2 linked regions of the Cricetulus griseus genome follow. The protein of the gene in region 2 interacts with the protein of the main gene of each other region in a pairwise test. Links are inferred from orthologs where the notes say so. Each region holds a gene or a part of one and is shown on either strand. Other genes may lie near its edges. The genes, in order: Cep290 and CUNH9orf16.

What was found.
Region 1: the proteins of CUNH9orf16 (region 2) and Cep290 interact in binary tests that used the Homo sapiens proteins (3 or more experiments, as listed by UniProt). The two-hybrid records come from large-scale screens. The link is inferred for Cricetulus griseus from reciprocal best matches to the Homo sapiens genes BBLN and CEP290.

What each region holds. Positions count from the first base shown.
Region 1 is NW_023276806.1:166,136,971-166,145,834, reverse strand, and holds the end of Cep290 (centrosomal protein of 290 kDa), read right to left. Parts: intron 7,201-8,864; coding exon 7,059-7,200; intron 5,671-7,058; coding exon 5,597-5,670; intron 4,902-5,596; coding exon 4,807-4,901; intron 2,368-4,806; coding exon 2,288-2,367; intron 2,156-2,287; exon of another isoform or gene 1,624-2,155; coding exon 1,393-1,623; 3' UTR 1,316-1,392; downstream 1-1,315. Other genes in the region: C1H12orf29 (uncharacterized protein C12orf29 homolog), read left to right, coding at 790-978. UniProt on the Homo sapiens protein: Involved in early and late steps in cilia formation. Its association with CCP110 is required for inhibition of primary cilia formation by CCP110.
Region 2 is NC_048599.1:144,107,523-144,116,486, reverse strand, and holds CUNH9orf16 (UPF0184 protein C9orf16 homolog), read left to right. Parts: upstream 1-1,405; 5' UTR 1,406-1,516; coding exon 1,517-1,595; intron 1,596-2,349; exon of another isoform or gene 2,350-2,683; coding exon of another isoform or gene 2,684-2,704; intron 2,705-4,044; coding exon 4,045-4,155; intron 4,156-4,237; coding exon 4,238-4,410; 3' UTR 4,411-4,681; downstream 4,682-8,964. Other genes in the region: Ciz1 (cip1-interacting zinc finger protein), read right to left, coding at 5,685-5,912, 6,197-6,318, 6,472-6,541, 7,485-7,634, 7,785-7,898, 8,338-8,425. UniProt on the Homo sapiens protein: Essential for intermediate filament organization in intestinal cells, interacts with intermediate filament and regulates intestinal lumen morphology.

The sequences.
Region 1 (8,864 bases), on a different chromosome or scaffold from region 2:
ACTATATACAGATGGTGGTGTTGGGCTGGGCACTGGCTATATGTACAGGATGTGCTCTAGAGTTAGTGATAGGGCATTTATTTGGCACACTGTGTTCTCCGATTAAGACAGCACTTCTAACTTACTAGGTAGGGAGTTTTGTAGCGAGAGATCTAACTGAAGACAGAGAAAGAAAGGATTCCATCCAAGTGGGGCTTAGTGGGCCAGTGCCTTTATTGGGGCTACTTACAGGAATCTGGGTAAGGAGCATGGAGGACCCGGAGGCAGCAGGATCAGTAAGAAGCCCTCCCCAGCTTGAGTTACAACTCACAAAAGCAGCATACTGGGGACTCCCTGCTCTGGTGTAAGGAGAACCTTCACTCCAATTGTTAGTGCTCCTGTACCCTTGCAGAGAATCTTGGAATCTTAAAAGCTTCAGGACTTGTGAAGGTTTGCTTACTTCATGAGTCCAGAGCCTCCCTCCAGAGGGGATGTTTTCATGTGGAGGAAACAGCTACAGCAATGTCCCAGCCAACTTTGATCCTGACCACCCTACCATTCTACACTAATACTCCACGAGTCTAGCTCTCCAACAGACTTATAGTCATTACATTTTGGAGGAGCCCTTGATTCTACTCTATTCTCATGGGAATACTCATATTCTAATGGGAAAGGCAGACAGCACTATGTCAAAGAACAGCTATGACATTTAATTAAAATAAGTGTAATATAATATAGATCCTTACACTGTACCTGGCAGGTAGCAGGCACTCAAAGACTAAAGCTTATGCCACTTTTTCCTCTTTACAGGTTCATCGCCATCATCTTGGTTTATGCTGGCCACTTCCAGATACTTACATGAATTCCAAACCAGTTATTGTTAACATGAACCTAAACAAATATGACTGTGCTTTTGATAATGAGTGTTTGTTTAATCAGTTTTTGAAAAAAGATAAACAGAAATTTGATAGGCTTAAAGATATAATGCTTGATGTATAAAATGTTTTCTAATATTGATGAGTCTTCTGCTATGTTTACAGAGGTTAAAGTAACTGAAGGTTCTATTTAATTTTGCTAGATATTTGGTAAAACATGTCATAACTAAACTAACATATTTATAAACTAACATATCTATTTATCAAAATTATAGGATTTTAATATCTTGAATATCTTAACACAAATATAAGTATAAAATAATTACATCTGAAGCTTCAATTTTACAGCTTACCTTTATGATTTTAGAAAATTTAATTATGAAAATAGGAATATCATAGCTCATTGTGTACTGTATAGTCATAAGTTATTCACATCTTCAAAAATATACTTTTCTACCAAGTTAAAACTAAATATGATTTTATTTTTAAGCAAATATACAGTATTTTGACATGTGAATTCTGTAGTAAAAATGGGTCTTTAATAAATAGGGAAATTATTAGGACTTTCTCCAGGACTTTCTCCATCTTCCGAAGCAGCAACAGGGCTAGGTAATTCAAATCCAAATTGCTCAGAAAGTTTTTTTAACTTCTGTTCTAAGAGAATATTTTTTTTCACTTCTTTCTTATAATTGTACTTCAGGTCTTCAATTTCTTCAAAAAATGAAGGATCAAAATTTTGCAGTTCTTTTTTCAGCTTTTTAATTTCCTCCTAAAAGTCACATATAGGAAGATTGGATTACAAACAAACATGAAAACCCACATAACTTGAACAGTAAATACAAAAATATTTACCTTTGTACCATATGAATAACTTAATATGTGTGCTTCCATTATAGTGAGGTCGAGTCTTTGAACTGTGTCAGATATTCTGTTAGGCAAACAAAAGGGACTCCGCTCTTCACTGCATTGAGATTACTGTCTTATTTTCTTACTGTCGTATTTTCTTTAAAGTTCTGTTTTTACTTTTATAATATTTATGATCATGGAAATCCCGGGGCGTGTGAGGGGAATGTGAGTGCCAATGGCTGTTTTACACTGGCTGTTTACACTACCCAAGCATGAGCTCCGTCATAAGTAAAGCACAGAAGTATTTTAAGGGAAAGATCCTGAACGTAATTCCAAAAGGTACTTAGAAAAACTGTTGCCATGACCCACGACCCACAAATTAAGAAAATACTAAAAAAAAACATGTTGAGATACATTTGTTATAATTTAAAAATAAATTATTCTCTAGACCTTTCTATTTGTCTGTTTTTTGTTGTTGTTGCTAACTAAAAGCTCTCTATATTAAAGTAAGTAAATTAAGTCCATGAATTTTTGGGCACATTCCATTTCCCACAGCTGTTCTTAAGTCAGACATAAGTAAGAATTACCTTCAAGTGTTGCTTGTCTAGGTCTGACTTTCTGAGCTGTGTCTCTAGGTCATTTACCTTTTCCTTTAGTTGATCAGGATCTGCCAAAAATAGTCATAAAATTAGAATGAGTTAAAGATAGAGGGTTAATTTCAGAATAAAAAGGAAATTTATGAAGCCTACAGTCTATAATCATCTGGCACTGTATGGTGGGAACACTTCTCAGGTATACTTGCATGCTACCACTAGTAAGTAAGGTCATTCCATAGCAAGAAAACAGAAAGTGGGTTATTCCATAAGAGAAATTTCTATTTTTAAGAGCAAAATCCTCCTAATACCAGTAAAATTTGTTATGTACGAAATATTTGAGGTAGAAGGCAATAACAGCCAGCTTAGTTTTTTTTTTTTTTTTTTTTTTTCACTGCGTGCAAAACTTCCAAGGCAAGGTGTGTGGCACAGATAGAGTATGGCCCTGATGGTTTGGTAGGAAATCAGCTGTTGACAAGGGGCACAAGGGTTAAGATATCACACTATTGCAATCATTGAAAGGTAGTGTGAGGTTTCATGACAAGGACAGAAAAGTGTATTGTAGTGCTCATAAAGATGTAATATTTGATATTTGTCTTCTGAGACTGGCCTATTTTACTGAGCAAGATGATCTGTAGTTCTGTTTTCCTAAAAATGTGCACCACATTTTATGAGTATATCTGTTGATTGACACACAGGCTGATCCTATCATCTACTTACTATGAGTAGTGCCCCAATAACATGAGTATGCACATATCTGTTAGTTTGTCCATGGTCAGTGAGCTCCTTTATATTATATACAGAGTGGTGGTGAAACAATAAAGCAAGAAAATACAACATTTTCCAAAAGTGTTTTAAATGTCCACATCTTTAAATGTTGATTTAGCAATGTCCAAACAGGTTAATGTTGAAGCAGGTACTCTCTGAAATGTAACCTTTCCTCCTTTCTCTTACCTCCTTTCTCTTAAGTACATAAGGGCTTGGGTTTAGACAAGTTAGAGAACTTGCCTAATGCCAACAGGATAGGTCTTTGTTACTGTGTTTGTTACAAGTACACCCAGCTATCCCCTAGCAGTCACATAATCTATTCCAGATGGATGAATGCCATTTTTAGTTAGCAAAAAGCACAGCAGCACAGTGGTTAAGATTCTGCCATGGTAAGGAGTTCTGAACTTTCAGAGAATTACCTTCCAGTGCCACTTCCTACTTGTGATCTTGAGGATAGGTTATTAATCATTTATAAAATGTAACATGAAGACAACAATATCTATCCTATGGCATTATAAGAATAAAGTGAAAATTTTGTAAAGTCCTTAGCATAGTGTCTGGCACAAATCATACCATGCATTAATACAAAGTAGCATCAGGACACTACAGTAGCTCTATGAAATAATTTAAAATTATTCAGATATAAATTGGTATAATCCTGTAGGGTAGAACATGACACTTCCATCAGATTATCAGATAATGGCATGATTAGGTTAGAAGCTACAGGGTAGTTATTCCAGAAGCTTTGGAACTATACTAAAATTCCATCCTGGGGTAAACTCACTATCCATTCAATAGTGTACTACAGAATTATGAAAAAAATATGATGCACAGGTCTTACTACAAGAGAAGCTATAAATACATAGTGTGAATCCAGAAAAAAATCAATATACATTAAGGCCAGTTCTCTTTAACTGTTAAAAGTTTTATCCTGTAATCTTGGTGCAATTAGCAAATATCAAACCACAGTTCCTAGGAGAAATGCAAATGCATGCAAACACATATACATAACTAGAATTGTCAACTCACCCTGACCTATTATATTTTCTTTAGTCTCAAAAGAAAACATTCCTAAGTGTTGAGCCACCTTTCTGAGGTTGTCCCATTGAAAGTGTCAAAGCTATGATTCAAATTCCTATTAGTCTATAGTGGTACCCAGGACTCCATCCTAGATCACCTCTGGAGGAAAACTGAAACAAGAAGGCCAAGCACTACCTTGTTGGCCCTGATGTGGGAAGATGGGGGACTGTTTAAACTTGTCATTGTACCTGTTTGCAAAAGCATTGAATTGATTTTGTGTACACACACAGATGTTTTGTAAGTAACTGTTATACAGGGGAATGACTGTTAATATCAGAATAGGGGTTGAAAGGAATAAAAATAACATTTTTATTTGCAATAGAAAAAAATAGCACTGTAGTTTTAGAATTAAAACAACAATTAGTAACATTCAGAAGAATATGTTCATAGGGATTCAGAGACCTACATTTAGAAAGTGGAAGCACAGGACAGCATTTAGTGCTTGATAATATACTATGATTGAGACTGTAACACCTAGGTGGATCACGAGGAGAAAAACTTAGGCCACTTAGTATAAGCAATCTAAGTGTTAAATGGGAATATTTTCATAGCCTGAGAGAAAATAGCTCAAAATACTCTTGTCAAGAATTTGATACTATAGAAACAAAAGACAAGCCTTAAATCAGAAACTTGGGATAGCCAACACGTTTTATGAAATATATTACCAGGTGTGCTGCTTTCAGCTCCAGTTTGGTCCTTGTTAGCTTTTATCTGATGGATTAGTTCTGCCTTTTCTTTATCCAGCTTACTATTGGCTAATCTAGAACACAATGACAGCATGTTAAAAAAATAAGCACTGGGTGCCAGTTCATAAAGTAGGTAGGCATTTCCTATAAAGTAGTATACGGTACTCAAAACAGCATTTACCAAGGGCACAGCTGAGTCTGGTCATGTATGCTGGGAGGATATGCTTAAGAGATGGCAGCAGGATCACCAAGGGAAAACATTTACTCTCTGGGCTTCATTGCTTCATTCCCAAACAACACAAATTCTAAGTTTATCCTAATCTCACTCCTGATGTTATTTTCAAGAGTGCTTTTCTTACAATGAGAGGAGGCTGCACAAACTCCCAGAAGGTAGGATTACTTGTTTTCTTTCATTATGGTTTGGTTCTGCAATGCCAAAGTTTAATTCTGTGCTTCTAGAAAAACTTAAGTTACGTTCTGGAAATATTAGTATTGGGTTCCTCATCTTTAGGTGTGGCAAATTTGGCTGTATAAAATAATTTTCTAAGAACAAATGAACAATAAGGAGTTCAGTGGATTTCAATTCTTTGAAGGAAAGAACCAACTCTTGCAAGTTGTCCTTTGACTTTCCTTCACAGGTGGCCTGCACATACCAAACCCCCGCCCCCAGCATGTACTTGTGTACACATGTGCATTCACACACACAAAGGAAAAAGAAAACATGTTAAAAAAAATACTTAAGTAGTCAACTAAACATAATAACATGTACCTAAGGAGCTGGAGTTCCTGGATAAGCTCTTGATCTGTCTCCACACCTTCAGAAACGTTTTTGAGGATCTCAATCTTTGAGACAGAGAAACATTAGTTAAGAGATAAAAGATTAGCATGGAAGTAAAAGGCTCTAAAAAGACCAACTTTTAATAACATTTGGGTCTTTGGAAACATGAAACCACAGTTCTGTGTTCCAGTCTATACACTCAAGCCATCAATGCTTAAGCAACTCACTGCTGCCCAAGGTAGTGAGGACACAGCATATAGAATAGCTGGAATATCTTACAGAGGCGTTTGACTTTTACTCAGGAAGGAATATTAATTTCAGGTGTGTGACTTTTGTTTATGTTGCATTTAACTCTGTGAAGCTGTGTTACTGTGCCTGTCTAACACACCTGATGGTTCTAATAAAGAGCTGAACAGTCAATAGCGAGGCTGGAGCAAGGACAGGTGGGGCTGGCAGGCAGAGATATAAATGGAGAAACAAGGAAAAGGAGGTGCAAGAGAACAAGGAGAGGAGGATGTCAGGGGCCAGCCACCCAGCCACCCAAGGAGTAAGAGTGAAAGTAAGATATACAGATGTAAGAAAAGGGAAAAGCCAGAGGCAAAAGGTAGATGGGATAAGTTAAGAAAAGTTGGCTAAAAACAAACTAAGCTAAGGCCAGGCATTCATAACTAAGAATAAGCCTACATGTAGGATTTATTTGGGTACTTGGGTAGTGGGCCCCCCAACAGAGCCAAGGAGTAAAAACCAACAACTGTACTGTCATATGATGAGATGGAATGTGACAGGGCAGGATGGGGAGAAAGGACTGTCCAGAAAAAGAATCCAGGGAGAACAGGGTAACAGACTGCTGGTCTAGTCTCTGAAGGGAGTCAGAAGAATATTCGGGATAGTGACGAGTGTTCTAGATGGCAAGCAGGTATAAAGAACTGAAGCCTAATAGAGTTGCAGTTGTTCAGAGGTTTGAGAGAGTTAATGTTGGGACACCTGGTAGAAGATGCAAAGTGTTCGACCTTGTACATAGACACAGGCTATGAAAAAAAATGTTACCAAGTTTCATTCCAGGGTGATGGGGAACTACAAGAGTCTCAGAATAAAACTATAATTTGCTCTATGTGTTACAGGATTATTTGATAACTTTGTGGAGAATAGTAGTATAGAATAGGTGAAATGATGCAAGTGGAAGCCCAGGGACTAGTTAGGAAATGACTGCAGTCACTCAGGTATAAGACAATGGCTTCCACACTGAGCACTAGATGTGGAAAATAAGAGAATGAAATTGGTGATGATCTAGTTTGGGCTTGCATAAGAAGATGAGTTAAGTACCATTCACTAGCTGAGTCTCCTAGGAGAGACATTATTCAGGAGTTCAGTGTATTCACCTTCAGGCAATTCAGGGATTATCTTGAGATATATTACATTGTTTTATCATTTAGAGACTATTACATGTACATGCCTGTTGTTCAAGATCTTCTGTGTATTTCTTAGCTTTCTGTTCTCTCTCTGTTGCTTCTCGTACAAGCTGTTTAAGGTCAACAATGCTTTGATTCTTTTTGGAAATATCACTTTCGAGCTCTTTCATCTTGGTCTCATACATTCTAGAAATATAAAGAAAAATTACTATGGGCATTAGTATGTAATTTCACTAATTTAAAATTTAGCTTAAAGCACAGTAAAATATTCAAGACTATATTATTCTAGTCAAATCTTTGGCTACATATTTAGCAGTAAAAAAAAATGGTATTGATGAATAAGCATCCCAATTAACATGTGCTAATTAAAATAGAAAATGAAAGTGATCCTAAAGAGCCTAAGATCTGAGGTGGAGATTGACTTCAGCAACTGTAAAACTTCTAGGTTGATATCTTATTTCAGACATAAGAACGTTTCTAACTCATCAGACTACCAAATGTTCCCTCCTATCTAGAACCCTCCCCCAACCCAGGTGTTCATGTAGAAAAGTCCCAAAGGGGCACTACAGAAGGAACAAGTTGTTCAAAAGCAGGAGTGAGGGAAACACTGCATTTTGTGGAATGGATGAAGCAATACAGATTTATAACCAATAAGGAAACGATAAATGAGAAATCCAGTCTCAAAAGAAATCTTCAAAAATTTGATGCCAGTAGTTTTACAGGCATACACTTACAGGAAGATAATGCTTACAGTATTCAAATTTTTCCAGAGGAAAATAGTATGTCATGTCTTGTCAATAAATTAACAAAGATAGTATTGGTTCGGAAAAGTATCTGACAAGGACAACACAAGGAAGGGCAGTAATTACATAAGTTCTGTCAAGTAATTTTGGACAGACCTTACAAACAGATTAGAAGGGTGTGCTTACTTGACAAGGCCTAACGACCAAAGATATACCAAAGGTTACTGTTAAATATCTGAAGCTCATTCCTCTACTTCATCCATTTCTCTGTTCAAAAGCCACTGTGATTGTCTGAATGACAATGACCCCCAGTCCCCAAATAGGTTCATATATTTGAATGCTTAGTCACCAAAGAGTAGAACTATGAAAGGATTAGAAAAGTTAGGAGGCATGGTCTTGGAGGAAGTATGTCACTGGGGGCAGGGGGTGGGCTTTGAGGTATCAAAAGCCCTTACCAGGCCCAATCCTTGGCTACAGATCTGCTTGGCTACAATCCTTGGCCCAATCTGCTGCCTACAGATCACGATATAGTTCAGCTACTGCTCTAGCCCCACACATGCCTGCCTGTATGCCATCATGTTTCTGCCATGATGACAATAGACTACTAAACCTCTGCAACTGTAAGTGAGCCCTCAGTAAAATGCTTTCTTTTATGAGAATTGTCTTGGTCATGGTGTCCCTTCACAGCAATAGAACTGTGAGTGATTACCATAACCACCCAAGAATAAAGATCTTCTAGGTCCCCTCGCCCTTCCTAGAAGTCATTAGAGGTAGAACACTCAGCACTTGGAAAGCCAACGTAGAATTTGAGCTCAGCTTGGATAAATAGCAAGAATGTTTCAAAAACAAGTTGGACTTAGGTTTATTGAAGATGTTGCCTATGTTCAGTTCTCAGAATAAGAACTCACGTATGTGTTAACATGTAAAGTCATCTTCAATTACAGTTAAAGAGCCATCAACCCATAACTGTCTTAAAACTGGAAAGTTTCTCATGCCAGTAAGCATTTTTGTTACCTTGTAGAGCCACAGAGAAATAAGGGCAGGGTCACTCTTTTCCACAGTTAAAAACATCTTGAGCCTCAGAAGGGATATCATTTATGCAATGTC
Region 2 (8,964 bases):
GATATGTGCACATGAGTGCAGGTGCTTGAGGAGGTCAGAGGCATTGGATTTCCTTGGAGATGGTGCTACAGGTGGGTGTCAACTGCTGATGTGGATACTGGGAATTGAACTGGGGTCCTCTGCAAGTGCACTGTATGTTCCCTCTCTCTAGCCTAGATCTAGTTTCTTGTGTTGGACTAAAGAAGTCAGTTTCCCATAACCTTTGCTGCTGTTGGTCTCTTCAAATCAAACTCTATGGCACAAATAGGGCTTTGTTTCCTCTTCCTGCTAATGCAGATATGAGTTTCCCATTGGCATTGAACAGGTTGCAATACATGGCCAGTTACAGCGGTATGCATGTACTCTCTTCCAGTTCCAGATTGAATTAGTTTGAATTAGCTTTGTGGTGTCCATGGGGTTGTGCTCCCTCTGGGGTTCTGGGGAAGAATCCACTTTCCTGCCTTTCCCAGATTAAGCCCCTATGCTGAGAATAGCCTGCACTCAGGACTAGCCAGGTGACACCAGGAACAAGCTGCTGGTGCCAAGGGGTCTCCTGGCTATTACAGATAGAGGAGTCCTGGTAAGTGAGCTTCCCTGAGACACCACCCTGACTCTGAGCTGGACTCAGGATTACACTTCTGAGTGCAATCTACAAGTGATTTTGGCTGGTGACTTTGTATGGGCCGCCTTTTCCCACCCAGTGCGTGGAGTGGGGAATGCCCCAAGCAGGGCTTTATCATGAAGCCTTCTCTGATGGACAGTGTCAAGCAGGGCCACTTAGCACAGACTTTCCGTGGCCCCGAGGGCACCTACAGCAGGATACAGCAAACCCTTTCCATACTGGGAAAGTGACATAGTCCTTGAGAAGGACCTCACACTCCTCTCCAATGCATGTCCTCCCTGTTTGTTGGCACGGGTCAAACACATTGGGTCTATATCTACTATCCAGGCTGGAATTTGGTCTGATCTCCACCCGTTAAGTGTAGCCTTTGAGAGCCTTAAGAGAAGTGATGGGAACAAGACTGGCCAAGATAGGACGAGGTCGTGGGTAATCTAGGCTGCACCTCAGGGAGATGGGAAGAATGCGGATTCCCGGGGACTGGGGAGGAGCGGTGCTGAGAACAGAGTTCTCTAGGCAGCCTTTGAAACCGCCTGTCTGATTCTGACCACGCAGAGGAGCGGAAACAGCAGGACGGAATCAAATAGAAGTCTCAAGCTCTAGCGGGCCAGGGTCTTTACTGCCTGGCTCGCTCCGTTGATCGCCGGGTGGGGGACAGGAGCGGAGAGGGACGCCGTTCGGAAGCGAGAGGAGGAGCCCGAGAGCGGACGGGAGCGGAGCCCTGCTTGAGGGCGTGGTTTGAGAGGATTCGGGGCGGGGTTCTGGGCGGGGCTCTGGGCGGCCCCGGTGCGCCGCTGCGTTCCACCCTTCCGGCACGGCGTTCCATCAGCTGCTTGCACCTTCCGCCTAGCTCCCGCTTTCCGCGCGGCGGTCGCTGAGTTTCATCTTTCCGTGGCCTCTGCGGCGCCCGAGCCCGCAATGTCGGGCCCCAACGGGGACCTAGGCATGCCGGCGGATGCGGGCGCGGAAGGCGAGAATGACAGCTTCGGGGAAGCAGGTGACCTGGGCGAGGGAGGGTGCTGCTGAAGTGACCTCTGCTTTGCTCGGGGTGCTGTCCTGGAATGGGGCCGGGATGGAGGCTGTGTAAGGGACTGAAGAGCCGTCCCACCCCTCCCCTGGGTGGTTCTGGAGTTGTCCCCACAGCCACCTCGGAGGCAATGGCGAGCACTAGTGAACGCATCCCTGGACGCCGCAATACTGGGGAACTGTCGCTAAGCAGCCCAGGTTACATATGGGGAAACTGAGGCGGCTTCAGACACGCTTTATCGGTTTGGGATTTGTTTCAGCCACTTTCTTCGCTGAAGGGGAGCAGGTTCTGCTTGGCCCTGCAGGTGTTGGCCTGGTGGGCGCCCCATATGCTGAGTCAGCACCCAGCCACCTGGCTTTGCTGGTGTGACCCGCTTACCAAGGACTGTGTTGGGCGCACAGCACTGCGGAAGGACTTCAGGGGAAGGGTCAGTCCACAGACTCCCTTTGCACGTTTTGGAGCCTCAGTTTTCCCATCTGCAATATCGGGTACATTGGTGTCTACTGTTTGGAGATGTGTCTGGATTAAAGGGAAAATGGGATGACTGTTCCCATTTGTTCCAGCATACAAGTTCCTTCTGAAAGTGGATAGATAGTCACACACACACACACACACACACACACACACACACACACACACACACACATTTCAAGTCTGGTCCTTACCCAGTGGGCAGGACTTGTGCAGTAAGAATGGAGTATGCTTTTGTTCTGTTATAAAAGCTTTATTGAGCTGTATGTCACACAATAGAGTTTACCATTTAAACAGTACAGTTCTGCAGACTTTCATATATTCACAGCATATCCATTATCACAACAGTTTTAGAATATTTTCATCACCCAGGTTCTGCTCTTAATGAAGGCTGCCTTCCAACTGGAGGCAGGTTGGGTCATTAGGCTTACAGTGGGCAGCCATGGTGGGGACATCATGAGGGGACCTGGTGAGGGGGCAGTGTAACACTGAGTAGACAGAGGGAGGAGGCTATCTGACCCAGGACAGGAGCAATGGTTGGGAGGTACTCTTGACATAGATGAAGCCTAGTCTGGAGACACCGCTTCTCACCTCACCGCTCTGCTAGCCTGCAAGACGTGGAAGGATGGATCATAACAGCTATGCATTAAATTCTTGCTGTGGCCAGACCCCAACTGAGCTCTTGGTGCACTGGAACCCTACCTCGGTGTTCCCTACTGCAATAAGGAGTTGCTGGGGTACAGCAGATCTGGAACTAAAACCTAAGGGTCTCTGACCTTCAGGTCTGAGTTTTGGCCCTGTCACCAAGTAGCTATGAGAAGCTGTTCTGGTTCCTTCTTTCTTAGGCTTCAGTTTCTCAATCTGTGCCATGAGGGATGGACTTTAAGACCCAGCAGTCTTCAGAGGCTCTATCCTCCTTGAGGGATGCCTTCTCTGGGAACCATCCCCCAAAGGCAGGCACGTTTGCAATCATATCCCAGACACCCTCCCTGGGCCTTTTTCTTAAATCCACCAGCTACTTCCCCACTGGTCCCAAGCTGGCAGCTAAGTGTTTCTGAGTCATGGGCTGGCTCAGAACTGTGTCCCGCAGTGGGCACAGACCCAGACCTTGGGTCCTAAAGGACATAGCATTGCCAAGAGGCATGTCAGAAGCTGATGTAGAGGAAAATAGGAAAGACTTCTCAGAGGGGGGAAGACTCCAAGGAGGAGGTATTTTGAGCTGGTCCTTGAAGGGCTGTTGTCGATGAATTCTAGATGGTAGACAGTTGAGCAAGAGCAGGGACTGGAAAGTCAGAGCTTCATTCATTCATCCATTCACTCATTCATTCAGTAAGTACTTATCTGTGTTGTCGAGGGCACTGGGGAAACAGCAGAGAACACAAGACCCGTCACCTCTCCCAGATCTTTCTAGTTGAGTGTGAGGTTGAGTACAGGCCAGCACCCAGATAGTCACAGTAGTGACTCCTGATGGGAAAACTGTGGAAGGTGGTGTCTAGAGGACCAGGACAAAGGCCTGATCCAGGGTGGGACGGCCTTGGTGATATCCATACCAAAACTTGAAATAAGTGGAATTCATCCCAGAGGGAAAGACAAGCAGGGCACCCAGTGTATTCAGAGGACCCGAGATAGGCTGAGCAGGTAGGAGGGGAGATGGGGATCAAGAGGGAAGTAGGGGCTGGGTCTGCTTCAGGGCCCAGAAGCTGCGGGGCACTATTGGGAAGGCAGAGAGAGCCACAAAAGGGCTGGAGGTCACATGCCTAGCACAGAGCCTTTGACTGCCCAGCTCTGGAACCTGGGTTCTGACTTCTAGGTAGCTGTGGAAGGAAACACAGAGGAAGCTTGGCATATGATAGGGCCACCAGCCAGGACACTGGCAGATTGCCCCAGCACCACACTAACCCTACAAAAAAGATGTGCTAAAGATGATTTGACACTTTGCCTCTTGTAGTACCTGTTAATTTCCTGCATGATGACACTGAGAATAAGAAAGTTGTGAGCTGGGACATTGGGTGCACTTGTCTGTCAGCCCTAAGGAGACACTGGACCTTTCCTCTCAAGGGTGAGCTGGGACACTGGGTGCACTGTGTCTGTCAGCCCTAAGGAGACACTGGACCTTTCCTTTGTCTTTTCCCTCCTCCCAGAGTATGCTGCCATCAACTCCATGTTGGATCAGATCAATTCTTGTCTGGACCACCTGGAGGAGAAGAACGACCACCTCCATGCCCGCCTCCAGGAATTGCTGGAGTCCAACCGACAGACACGACTGGAATTCCAGCAACAGCTTGGGGAGGCCCCCAGTGATGCCAGCCCCTAGGTGCCAGGAGCCCCCAACCGGGCCCCACCCTTGCCTCTCTAGGCCATGTTCTGGCCTGGGTAGATGCTACCTGGCTTAGACTCCATCTCAGGTACTGGCCTTCAGATCCCCCAGTGGGTCTACCAGCCTGGACCAGGCCCCACTGCCCATCATCCCTTCTGGAGCCAGGCGTGGTCCTACAACTCATTCACTTGTCTGCCTGCCCAGCTCCAGTCTCTTTCCCCTCCACCCAGGATATAGTGTCCATATTAAAGAGGCCTCCCACACCATTGCCCCTCTCTCATCTCTTTGTGCCAGGAAAAGGACACCATTAGCCACTGGAGGGCTATGTGACAGGGCTGGGGTTCTTAGTCACAGTTCATTTCTGATCCAGGGGATACAGGCAAGGCCAGAGCTTCCTCCCTACCTGGTATGTAGCAGCTGCTTCCCCGCCTGGCTGAGACAGACACACTGTGTGACTATTGGATACATTCAGTCTCTTTGGGCACTAGGGCCTTTCACCATGATAAACACCCCTAGGATCTGATGGCAAACCTTGGCAGCTTCCACTCTAGCTATAGTCTTCCCAGCTGGCACTAAAAGCCAGGCTGTCTTACCTCTAAGGGTCATTTCTTTAAATGAGAGAACAACAGGGCTAAGGCTGGGCTCCTTCACCTACTCATCTGACTCCAGATTAGGAGGCTGTGCTCTCTTGGCAAACCAAGAGCTAACCCTCAGCAGCAAGGACCACCGCCCCCTCAATCCTAACTCCACGTCTGACTGGCTTTTGTAAGGTGCAGCTGTACAGAGACCAACACAAGGACCAAGATTTTACACCTAGGGTGAAGTCCTTTCTGTTTGCCAGTCTGACTTTTGGCAAGTCACATGACCCTGCTAAGGCCTCAGTTTATCTGCAACTTGGGAATAGGAACAAGGCCATCTGCTAGGGTCACCAGCCATAAGGATTTTCTCTCAAGTTGCCTTTCTAACCACGATACACTAAGAGGAAAACTGAGGCTCAGAGAAGATCAGTGCCTTGTAGTCCTATCCCAGAGACCCTGCATCTCAGGGAGCCTGATTTTGGCTTCCCTGGTCCTCCACCACACTGTGTCCAGAGAGACTAGGTGCCCTCCCCATACCCACCCCGACACAGTGCTGGTGGGGACTGCAAAGCCAGACAACACTTTATTGAATTTTGGGTAAAAACACCAACCATGTGAACTTTTCCACAGAGACACCTAGGAAGCATCAACAGATTGGGACCCAGTCAGGCTAGGTGGCCACAGCGCCCTCTATCAGGTTTTGAGGCGAGTTGAGCGCCGAAGGGGAAGAGGGGGGCTGGGGAATCCAGGCTTCACCTTGCTCGGTATTTTCGCTGTGTCCTGGGTACTGGGCTGGCTGAGTGGGCGGCCACTGCCGCTGCTAGAGGTGAACAGCGCAGTCAAAGCATTTCGGGCGTTGATCGCACACCTGCGGCTCATGGGCCTGGTGGCAGGGCTGGGGTTCTTGGCTGCTTTGTATTTCTGGATACAAAAGTTTTCAAGTTAGGTGCAGCCTACAGGCACTCCTGGCTGGCAGCTTCCCAACTTGGGCCAAAACAGTAATCATCTGTTGTGTGACCCTATGTGAAGCTCTTAGCCTCTCTAGGCTCTGGAGTCACCCCCACCCAGACCCCCAACACACACACGCGCACACACACACAAAGGACATAACCAAAGAGCCAAGCCTAGATCTCTCCCTGCTGTGGGAGTATGCCAGTTTGAACAGAGGTTGTGTCCCTGGGCAGGACAGTCAGATGGACACTCACCTGCAGGTTCTCAAAGTGGGCCAGGGACTTGCAGTGAGAGAGCCGTAATCCTGAGTTACTGTCATAGAACTTGTGACAGACACGGCAGACATAGCCCATCACGGGCACCAGGAAGTCCACACCTGAGGGACAGACAGCAGGGGCTGCATACTCAGGTCCCCCTAAACAGCTGGGTGACACACCTTCTCTAGGTGGGAGAAGAGAAAAGCACCAGGGTTGGGCTGCCTGACTGGAGAGCTGTGACTGAGATTGGAGGGCTTAGCTTGGGGTCTTACCATATGCCGTGTTGGGGCTGTAAGTCTCTGGGCCCTTCCATTCCTCTAAAGATGTATCTCTTGATCTCACCTGGAGAGGGAATGAAGGCTCAGATATGGTGCCTCAGGCCCCACCCAAACACATGTCAGGGGCCTGCAGTGTGCCCTTAAGTCTCCAGAGCATAAGCCATCCCCTTGGCTTACAGCTCGTTGAGGGTGGCCTTCTCTAAGCTGTGGTACACGCGGGCCCTGACTATGTTGTGGGTTTCAGTTAGCTCCTTCTTCCGAGCCAAAATACCCCTTCCTTTCTTAGGCTGCTTTTTTAATGCATTTGAGTGTGTGGGGGTGTGTGTACCCAAGGCTAGTACTTGTCAAATCTCCAGAACTGGAGACAAAGGCATTTATGAGCAACCTGACATGGGTGTGGGGAATTGAGCCCAGGTCCCCTGGGAGAACAGCATAGCTTTTCACCACTGTCCTTCCTGCCCCCCTCCCCCCAGTCAGGGTCTTGGTATATAGTCCATGATAGAGCTCTCAATTTTCCTGCTTAAGCCTCCTTCGTGCTGGAGCCTCTATTGCCCCCTCCCCCTTCTACTGGAGAGTGAATCTAGGGTTTTGCACATGCTAGGCAAGCACTCTACCACTGGGCTATAGTTCCTAGTCCTCTGCCTTCCCCTCCCTACCCCTAATCCACCTGCATTTCTTTTACTTTGTCCAGAAAAAGCATGAAAATCTTATACAAAGCCTCACAGGACTGCAGACAGTCTGCTATAGCATGCCTTCTGCGTCTGGCTAAACACCGTTCCCTCTGCCCTCCCTTCCCAACACAGTCAGTATCTCAGCCAGCCCTAAAGCCCTTGCAAACTTCACCTGTCACTTAATAGCCACCCCTGTGCCTATTTCCATGGCCATGTGACACAGCCCATAACTGTGTCATGCATTTAGTGCCTATAAATGCCAGCAGTGTCTGCATCCCTCAAGGAGCAGGAAAGCCCCTCTGGCTCCAGCAGCCTCGAACAGCCCACCCCACATACCTGCTTGCAGAATTCCTCCTCAGCCTCAATCTCTTCCTCTTCCTCATCCTCTTCATCTTCTTCTTGATCACTCTCAAAGCAACCAACAGCATCCACTGTGATGAAGTGGTCCTCCTCTGGGCTGGTTGTTTCCTTTTCAAGTGTCTTCAGCTGCCCAAGGCACGGGCAAGGGGCCTAGGTCAGCTATGGGCAGCTGAGGTACCACACTGCTGAGGGTTCTAGGTCCTCTACCTGCTCTATGATGGGGGGGGGGGAAGCTTCATGCTATACTCAGGTGCAGGGGTGGCGGTGGGGAGTTACCTCCTTGGCCTTATCTTTGTGTCCCTGGGACTTCACATGCTCCACAAACTTTCGAGGGGTCTTGAAATAACGGTTGCATATGGTGCAGAAGGGTCTCAGGGATTGTTTGGCGATCTGGGGAAAGGAAGGCAGGCTATGAGGTACATTGTAGCATTCCCCCCCAGATACAAGCTACCTATAGTGGCCCAATGAGACCTCACCTGTCAAACCTGCGGGCCCAGCTCAGCTCCGCCCCCGCAACGGGACATACAAAATCACTTTTCTTCAGTATGTGGGATGGTAGGCGGCAACACAGGATAGGAGGGATGATAGCCACTAAAGACATCCCAGTAGGCTAGTGGCTGAATAGCAGGGTGAGCTAGTACCTACACTCAACAGATGGGCAAAGTAAAGCCCAAAGAGGAACATGACTGACTCACCAGAAGCCGAATGAATGACAGTCACATGGAGACAAAGAGACTTTACCTCGCACTCCCACCCTGGACCACCTCCCCCATCTGGCTTGGCTGTGGCACTCATGGGTGCCTTTTCAGCATGTGAGTGGCTCTCGCACCTTGTGTTCCTGTGTCCTGCGGTGCTGGATCAGGTCTCCCATGTAGTACACCTGGCAGGTGTTGCACCAGCGTTTTGGAGGAGGCTCTCTGAATGATGACAATAAAAACAAGCAGGGCATGATGCTATACTCTCCTAGAGTGCCCCCGAGATGTAATGCAGTTTGGAAGCGAGGGTATGGGCCAGCCTACGGTGCCTTCTTGAGGGGCCAGGCTTCTAGTCACAGCATCAAAAAGATGAAGGAAAGAACAGCGATTCCTGACTCCTCTGAATGAGAGCTAACAGACATGTGCTCTCTGTCCAACAGGCAAAAAGCTGAGCAACTGTGAGTCTCTGCTGTCTCCTCATCCTCAGTGGAACCCCCCAACCATTGACTCAGACACTGTCCAGCCTGAGAAAGGCTTTCATTTGTCTTCAACAGCGTTTACTGTAATTCTAAGTAAGTCAACTCTGAGATCTCACTACGCAGCTGGCTTTAAACTCTTGATCTTAGCTGGCCATGGTGGCTCACACCTTTAATCCCAGCACTTGGGAGGCAGAGGCAGGCGGATCTCTGTGAGTTCCAGGAGAGCCTGGTCTACACAGAGAAACCTTGTCTTGAAAAACCACCACCAACAATAAAAACCTC